Linked DNA regions of Oryzias latipes. Each later gene encodes a partner of the first gene's protein in a complex. Links are inferred from orthologs where the notes say so. Each region holds a gene or a part of one and is shown on either strand. Other genes may lie near its edges.

Region 1 (4,597 bases):
AGGTGAGCCAGAACATCCCAAGAACCCCAGAAAGTCCAGTGAGTTGGAACCTTTCCTGAGGTTTCAAACCAGAAAAACTCGATTCACCATTTTAAATCGGCCGCAGCGGCGCCGGTTCTGGACGCAGCGGCGCCGGTTCTGGACGCAGCGATTCTCCGACTTGGTTCTACCGGCTTAACCCTACGAAGCTGAAGAACCTCAGCAGTTTGATTGATCCTCTTTATTGATCTGAGCGTTTAGTCCACGTGATCAATACCTGAGACATCCATTAATCTCTGCTTGAAGCTGAATTTCAGACCTCAGAGGTCAAAGTTCAAATGACCAACAGACACATTTGAATAAAAACTGAAAACAAACTTCCACTTTGTGGCTAAATGTCACTTTTCACGCTGAAACATTCTGCTCTGTTTATTGACGTCTCATGGAGGCGGAGCTTAAATTCAAGTTTCTTCTTCCTTCCTGAAAAATATCTACCCTAAAGAAAAAACTGCAGCGAGATCCTGGAGGTTCTGACAAACGTACGGATCGGGCCGCCTGCTGAGACTCTGAAGGACGGGTTCTGATCCCACAAGAACCAAAGGTTCCTGACGTGATCGGTCCGAACCCGAACCGGGACGCAGACGGCAACGACCGAAGCGTCTGCTGCTTTGAGGAACCGGGAACGTAGAGAAACCAGAGGATGGAGGACAAACCGCCGTCTGATATCGATGAGGCCATGCAGCAGTGGGAGGGGCCCAGAACCCTCCAGAACCTGGAGAGGGCCCGGCAGGTCCCACGTGACGGGACGCGTCACTCACAATGTCCTGGCAGATGTAGCCGATGGCCTCCAGCGTGGACTCCTTCATGTGCTCGGTGCTGGACGGGTCCGTCACGTTGGCCACCAGCTGAGGGATCAGCTCGGGCCACTGGTTGACCGGGATCTCAGCGCAGGCGATGCCGGCGACGCACTGCGAGGCGGAGCTGGGCCGGTACGTCTCTGTGCCCAGAGTTTGGAGGACCTGCAGGAGAAACACGGACCCGGTAAGCTCCGCCCCCCGCTCAGACAGCCGCCTTCAGCAGCACTTACGTAGTTCTTGATCTCGCGGCGAGCATTGGCGTCGATGGCGAGCCATCTCTGCTGGTACTGCGTCTTCACGTCAGGATCTTTGGAGGTCAGGGAGTTCTTCACCTGCAGGCCCGCGGCCACCCGGGCCACCTGCGTGTTCCCCGGGTTTGCCAACACCTTGGAGAGCTCCACCAGGAAGGTGGGCTGGGGGGGGGAGAGAGAGAGAGAGAGAGAACGAGAACATCAGCGGGGGGCCTTCAGGCTCGGACCGCCGTGGAACGAAAACCTGAAGGCCCGCCCCCAAACCCAAAGGAGGTCCTGAGACCGAAGCCACTTCAGGGTTCTAGTCCAGACTCTGCCTGCAGCCAAAATCTCTCCCATCATGCTTTGCAGCATCATTACATACAGTCTGAGCATCACAGTAACGGCACAGGCGGGACTTCCTGGTTCCAAAAAGGTCACATGATGCCGCGTCATGCTAGCAGGTAAACCCACATCTGTTAGCATGACCGGAGGACGGAGAGCAGAAGTGCTTATGGCTTCACTCCCGTGACTGCAAAGCATTGTGGGATTGATCCTAGTCTGACCATCAAGAAGGGGGTTCCGGACCTCCTCTGGATTACTGGACTTTAGGGGAAACACAGGTCTTTGGGGGAGACGTCAGAGCTCACTGAGTGAGTGCGCGTGCGCCAGCTGATCACGGATGCTCCGTTCGCCCGGCCGCCCCGCACCGCCCCGCAGACCGAACTTACCAGGTTCTCCACCGCCGCCTGCTCCAGAAACTTCTGCGCCGCCTCCAGCTCATTCCGATCTGCGGAGAGAGGGCAGAGGTCAGCCAACGCCGGCCGGCCTGCAGCCGCACCGACGCCCGGGCCGGGTCGGCCCGGACATTTCCGCCATCACCTAATCAGTGGCCCACGTGGGCCGCGGACCTGAAAACAGAGCACGATGCGTTCACGGACTGCGTCTGAACCACGGGTAAAGCGCGCTAGATTAGCATGCTAGCATTGCTAAAGGCGCTCGTTAGGAGTCCGTTTGGTTCTCCAGACAGCCGCCGAACCCAGCCGAACCGGCCTTCAACAGCCAAGTGCTGGCAGCCTAACGCGCCCGCTGAACGCTCCCGCGAGGACGCTGAGGCTCGAGAAGGAAGCGGCTGCTAGCATTAAGCTAACGGCTAAAGCAGCCGCCGCGCCGGCATGGCATGGATGGGCAGGGTCGCTCCGGTAACCGGTCCTGCGGCTTCAGCCTGCGCTCCTGCTCGCCACCGCAAACCGGAAACTTCCCCGCCGCTGAGGGCCACAAATTTACCGGACTTTACCTGCTGGTGGCGGGGTTCCAACTGCACCGGCAACGCACGAATGACGAGTCCCGACTCAGGCCGGAGCCTTAGCACCGTTAGCCCTGCCAGCTAGCATCTGCCCGGTGTCCTTCCTGCAGACCCGGACCGCCAACCGGAGCCCAAACAGCGGACGGGCGAGTGGGCGCTTACCCGGAGAGACCGTTTTTTCCAGGATGGTAATGAGCTCCATGCCGCCGCCGCCGCTCTCGTCTCTCACACGTTCTGTAGCCGCGCACCGCCGCAGCGGATTATATTTCTTCCACGGTGCTCAGTCGGTGCCGTCGGGGCGAACTCGGTTCGCTGCGGAAAAGGCGGGAGCTCTCCGGTGTTCGCTCGGTGCTTCTGACTCGGATGATGCGGGGAAATGTTTACGATCGAGGCAAACAGCAGCGCGTCGAAGCTCCGCAGCCGCCCATCCGCATCCTGAATCGTCGGGAGGGAAAGGACCGCGCGTTTCACCCACGCGGAAGGATATCACGCACTGACGTAAAGACACGACGTGCTGCCTTCAGGGGGCGTGGGAGCTTTCAGGAGGCGATTTCTGGATGAAGTAGCGGAGAAAGGCTGTTTTTCTGACACTGCAGCACAACAGCTGCGTCGTTACTGCACGATGGATTTGTGCTTTTATTGAACATTTTACTGTTGGTAAAGATCTTCTGCTGAGTACAGGAAGAGGTCAGAGGTCAGAAACATGAAGTCTACAGCCAAACCTTCTGCAGGACAATGAAACACAAAGAATCCTCTGAACACATTCTTCTAGAGGTTTGGTTGACAAACATGACCGTCACTGTGAAATGTCAAAGTCCCGCTCCAATCCTCTTCTGATCTAAAGTCTTTTCACGATGATGTTACTGTTTTTAGCCAAAATCCAAACATCTGGGTCGTTTTCTTGGACTTAGTTTCTGCAGAGTGCCAGGAGTTCATCAGAAATTCACCTCTGGGTTGTGGGTGGGACTATTGGTGCAGAGTAAGCCTGCCCTCATTTCCCATCATCCTTTTGTTTATACTCTCCCCCTCTAGCGTACAGCCCCTCACACCCCCAAGCTAGCATTAGCGGTGCAGCAACATCAGATCCATCCATCCGTCCAGTTCAGATCCAGATTCCGGCTCAGACCAGGAAAACTGAGACCTTCATGGATCTGTTGGTCTGCAGAAGGGGGCGGAGCCTGGAGGCTTCTATGTCACCGCTCAAAGCTTGATCAAAGGACGTTTTGTCATCCGCTCCTGATTCACAAGGATCTGAATAAAGAAAGGGTCAGGAAGGCCGATCCAAAGTCCAGCATCAGAAAAACACCACAAACATCATTTTCACGGGTCTTTGACTGCTTCATCTTCAAACTCAGGGAAGAATATTCTGGATGGCGCTGAAGCACCATCTCCACTCCACGAGAAGGTGCTGCTGACCCCCCAGTCCTGAAGGAGCAGCGGCGTGGGATTCGCCTTGTTGCTGCAGCCGCGTCATCTCAGGCAGCTGGAGGACGGCAGCAAACAGGAAGAGCTTCCCCGTGGCGTTTTTGCAGGAAATGCGATTCGTCTGGTGATGGTTGCTCTTCATCACACAGCTGTCTGAAACCTTTTCCTCTATTTTCAGAGCTTAGTGTTTTTTGATTCTCCTCAGTTCCCTCCAGAAAGATCTCAACCGATCCACTTCAGGATCCTGTCAGGAGGATCTTCCAGCCAGGCAGTGACAGCATCACTCAGACCCTCTGCAGCTTTGATCGGTCCTCAGCAGAGGCAGCAGAACCTGGGACAACATTCCAGAGTTACTGAACGTTTGAGTGACAGCAGCTAAACCCGGAGGTCTAAGAGCCCCAGACGGTTTGTGGAACCTAAGAAGAGATTTGATGTAGAACCTAAACGCATAGAACTGGATTCCAACTGGGATCCAGTGAAGAACCTGCAGGGATGTTGGATCTGCTGCTGGTTCAAAGACCTGCAGCAGACGGAGCCGCTCTAGTCAGCTTCGGCAGACCATAATAATCCAGAGGAGATGAAACCACGTTTCAGGCTCCCGTTGGTCCTCCACGGCGCCCAAACGCCTGCCGAGGTCATGGTTTCTGACTGACGCCGTCTTCATCTTCGGCAACAGCATCTTCATCGTTGCCTAATAATAATATTTGTATAGCACCTATTAAGATAAAAATCACAAAGTGCGTCACAATAAAACACAGTCAATTTAAAAAATGAAAGAAAATGCTATTTTAAAAAGAGGT
Region 2 (4,259 bases), on another chromosome or scaffold:
AATCACGAAGGAGAAATCAATAGCTGCTGTTTGTGCCCAGTCAGAATTCTATGGCACCGAATCTTTCGTGTATCGGAAAACAGCTGTGAAAGAAAGAAACCTGGAGTGAGATTCACAAGAGGAAGGGTCTTCCCACTGTGAGAACATGCATTAGTATCCCGTTGTATGAACACCATATGCTAAGCATGTTCAAAAACCTGCAGGCTTTAATGCTCCACATATGCAGCATGTGTACGTAGCTTTAGACACTTGTTTTTGTGAACAGATACATTTCCATGCTGCATATCTTCTTGATTGTCTGATTTTCTCCCTAAATTACATCAAAAATAAAACACCATTAAAGATTAGGGCAGCAGACACTTGACAAAAATTCATCACATCACATTACAAATTGTCATTAAACTACATGTAAATGATCAGCAATATCAGTAAATTATCAGCTTTTATGATCAAAATCTACTCAAAACCAACTTTAAGTTTGAGATTTAAAGTAACTTTTGATGAGAAGTAATTCACTTTACTTCTTGTAACAAAAGTTAAGAGGTTCTTTCCATTGATCTGAAACGGATTTATGCTTTTCCTGATCTAAAAATCTGCCCAGCAAACAGTGTACACCAAAAAAGAACATTTGGTTTTAAAATTCACTTCAGCCCAGTTTAAAGTTTGGCAAATGAAGACGCTATAAATCAAAAGGCTACATTTTTAATACTTGATTAACTGGAAACATTTACAGCATTCCCTCAGTGCAAATGCAGACCAATGAATCCGAGAGCCCCGACTCTGGCTCATTCTTTCAAAACAACAGCATTATGCAATAATGGGAGTGTGTCTGATGCTTCTTCTAATACCTTGTGACTCCATGACAGATGGGGAAGTAAGACAGAAAAGCAGTAACCCAACCACAAAAGAACATGAACAGAATTGAACTAAAGTGCATAAGGGAATTTAGTCAGCAGCACCTTGAGACATTCACAAAATAAATATACATACTTAAAGTGTAATAAATTATGACAGATGCATGTGTTAGTCAAGAAGTTTGTTTTGATTCACTGAAAAGAGCACATCTCTTTGTGCCCCTGTTTTTGTTGTTATGGAAAAGAAATAAATACTCGTTTCCAAAAGAATAGTTTTGAAGGATAATGGAGTTACAGAGGTGTGAAGGTCCTCCAAATAAATATGAGGCTAAAAAGATATGCGAAGAAACAAAAATACAAAGTACAAGCTTAACCCCGGCACCATAAACCGCCTGTCAGGCATGAGTCAGTCAGTGTCAGTGTCTTAGTGCAGCACCATGGAAAAGGTCCCGGGGATATTTCTGTCAGGCCTTTCTGTCCCTCATGGCCTCTTTGTGATGGCAGGTCACGCTCGCCTCCTCTTTTTCTCACTCTCTCTACGCCGGCCTAACCTCGCCTTCTTTTTCCTCTTAGTAGCAACTTTAAGAGGGTCTTCTTTATAGGCCATGGCCTTGTTTGTCTCCTGGGGGAGGTTAGGACCCTCCCTGTCTTCCTTGAACTTCTCAGGGAGGTTCTTGGTTGCCCCCGGGGACTTCTGATGTGGAAAGTTTCCGCTGAAAGTTTGTGTAGGAGTTCTGCTCTGTACGGGTGGTGCGTGCCGATCAGCGGTGTTCACCTCCCCCACCAGCTCATGCAGCCACATGCTCCGTCTGAACTCCTGCATGGATCTGCTTTTGTCGTGCATCAGCTGGACGTGGCTCACTGACCTCCTCCTAACAGAAGACATGCGGACAGATCAGCATGTTTTAAACACAACTAGTGCTGTAAAATTGTATTTTCGCCCAAATAAATGCATCAAGTGTCTCATGTCACTTCTCCAGCATAAGAACTCCACCTAAATATCCGCTTTTCTGCCTAATTTCTTTTAGATTGTTAGTAATAATGTTCTTTTTTTTTATGTTGTTGAAATGTCTTTACACCGCAGTGTTGAGTTGCGGTGTCCTGTAGTTTTAGATGTGGTGGCAGCTGAAATTTAACGTCAGGCTTCAGGAAACCTCAGTACAGTAGGTGGCAGCATAAACATGTCTGAGGCCTGTCACTAATCTGACTTTATGACCAACCTAAGAAAGGGAAAAAAAAATCTTTCCTAAAAATGTCAACGTAAGACAGAGCAGTGCTAAAACAAACAACAGGAATTCTTTAAAAAAAACTTTTATTATCTGGACTTTTGAAAATTCCTCCTTTTTTCTAAATGAGTTTTAGTAAAATTCTTTTCATCAAGTTAAAGTTATTGTAAAATGAACTCACGTTCTGTGATTAAGTGCATCAACTGGTCTCCCATCGAGAGTCACTGGAGGGAACAGCAAGAACACAGCCAGACTCCACTGATGAATCAATACTAAAGAGCACATGCTTGAGCCAAACATCTGAAGAACACAGTGATATCATCAGTCACTTCACTGCTTGATCAAAACTTTATTTCGAATTTTATGCCCAAACGTCTTCCTCCTTATAAGAATCTGCCTGCAGCTTGATTTGTTCTTATTTTACAGTTGTGTCAAAACAATAGTCGCTGAGTAAAACTTGGTGTTTTTAGCAAAAGGTCTATTTGTCATAAAAGCAAAAACTTGAACTTACAGAATGGATTTCTTTATTTTCCCTTTAGATGAAAGCCCACAAAATGTCCAAATCAATAGTCTTCTGTTAATAAAAAAATAGTTACAAAATGATAAAGCTATTCTGCTAAATGCAGTTTGGTCCATTCAGATCTTGTGTCCAGGTCCATTGGTGTAAATACAGCCTTGGGAAATTCCCCATGAGTCTCCTCCATTCATTTGCCTCCCAACAGTGTGTGTTGAGCTATTTATTTCTCCTCGGTGTCCAAATTGAAAGAGGGATAAAGATAGAAGGAGCGCAGCCCATCAGCTGCAGAGCAGCAACTCTGCTCTGCTCTGCCGTGATCTCATGAAGAGTCTGAATGAAGCATCCTCTCTGGGACAGAACGGAGCTGAGGAAATCGGTCCAGCCTGTGTGAGTCGGTCTGAGAAGAGCAACTGAGAGAAAATCCACTTTGGTGAAGATGCAAGCTCTACCTCTGCCCCTATCCAGCGCGAACACCCGGCCCAACCTTCTACCTACCTCCCTCCCCCAACCTTCACACACACCTGCTGTGACTCAAAGGTGGTATCTACGCAAAACACAAATCACCGCTCATGAATAATACCATGAAACAGGCACATTTTGTGTTATATATAAAAATAATTAATGCACTTTCAAAATTAACTCCATTTATGAGAGCGAAAAGCACTACAATTTCAGCCGTGCATTCACTTTGAGTAATCAAAAGTTACCAAGTAAAGCATGAACGGTTTAAGGATAGGGCCAGACTTAGTCCAAGGTAAACAGCCTGGCCTAACCACTTTCCCATGGGAGAATGACCATAACCTCAGAGAAACCCAACCCACAACCCTTCACTGCAGACTATTCAGCTCACCTCCACTCCTCCTCAGCTCACCACCGGATGGTCACAGTGGCTTCTGAGGGATCCCTGGTTCTCAGCTAACAAGAAAATTAGGGAGCTTGGTCCTCAAAGTGCAGTACTCAATCTCCAATTCAGTGTTTGGATCCTAAACAAAACCCTAAATATTCATCATGGTGTTAACGGTGTAACGTTAAAGCTACAACATTTGTATTGGTGCATCTGGGGCCAAACAAGCAGGGAGTGCTGTAGAAACTCACTCCAAAGTTTGGAAGTCAATGGAAAGTAATGACCAAAATGGTTCCACTGATAAAAAGATAAGAAAAATTCTTGTAAAAAGATAAAATAATAAATGAATTACAATTTATTTTTAAAGGGTAAATTGTGACTTCTGAACTGTGGATTCTAAAATCATGAGAAATACCTCTGTATTATTATTTTTGTAGACTTTGCTGATATTTTCTGTGTTTTAACAATAAAAATAAATGTAATTTAATTTTGAGTCATAATCCTTAAAGACCTACTCTGATGAAAATGGTGTTTTGGGGGGGGGGTTAACATTCTTGTAGCATTTTTCTGAAAATTAAGCTTAAAACTGCATTTCTGAGTATTTATTTATTCAACTTGTTGTAAATCAGGAGCAGACAAAAAATACTGTTTGAAAAAGATTGTAGATTTTACGTAGACGTTACAATCAGTGGACCACAAGCTACCTGCTCTGCTCCATTCTGATGCATCTACTTGCAGATGAACAGATCCACATACATATTCGTTTTCCTCGTCTGAGCTGGTATCTGGCTCAAAGCTGTTTGGCTAGATAGCTCCAA

The links.
Region 2: the proteins of kpnb1 (region 1) and parathyroid hormone-related protein-like are in contact, whole or in part, in a crystal structure (PDB 1M5N), measured with the Homo sapiens proteins. The link is inferred for Oryzias latipes from reciprocal best matches to the Homo sapiens genes KPNB1 and PTHLH. Residues at the interface, in NP_002256.2 of Homo sapiens: Val55, Tyr104, Pro106, Gln111, Glu152, Tyr156, Gln159, Asn196, Leu199, Asn200, Gln239, Glu274, Gln278, Glu281, Asp288, Ile295, Ser298, Glu299, Asp339, Asp340, Trp342, Val350, Met353, Glu395, Trp430, Arg434, Glu437, Asn469, Trp472; in NP_945316.1 of Homo sapiens: Tyr103, Thr105, Gln106, Glu107, Thr108, Asn109, Lys110, Val111, Glu112, Thr113, Tyr114, Lys120, Thr121, Pro122, Gly123, Lys124, Lys125, Lys126, Lys127, Lys129.

The regions. Positions count from the first base shown.
Region 1 is NC_019866.2:174,138-178,734, forward strand, and holds the start of kpnb1 (importin subunit beta-1), read right to left. Parts: upstream 2,863-4,597; 5' UTR 2,575-2,862; coding exon 2,535-2,574; intron 1,857-2,534; coding exon 1,798-1,856; intron 1,250-1,797; coding exon 1,067-1,249; intron 999-1,066; coding exon 798-998; intron 1-797.
Region 2 is NC_019864.2:13,447,825-13,452,083, forward strand, and holds parathyroid hormone-related protein-like, read right to left. Parts: upstream 3,046-4,259; 5' UTR 2,592-3,045; intron 2,381-2,591; coding exon 2,262-2,380; intron 1,727-2,261; coding exon 1,360-1,726; 3' UTR 687-1,359; downstream 1-686. UniProt on the Homo sapiens protein: Neuroendocrine peptide which is a critical regulator of cellular and organ growth, development, migration, differentiation and survival and of epithelial calcium ion transport.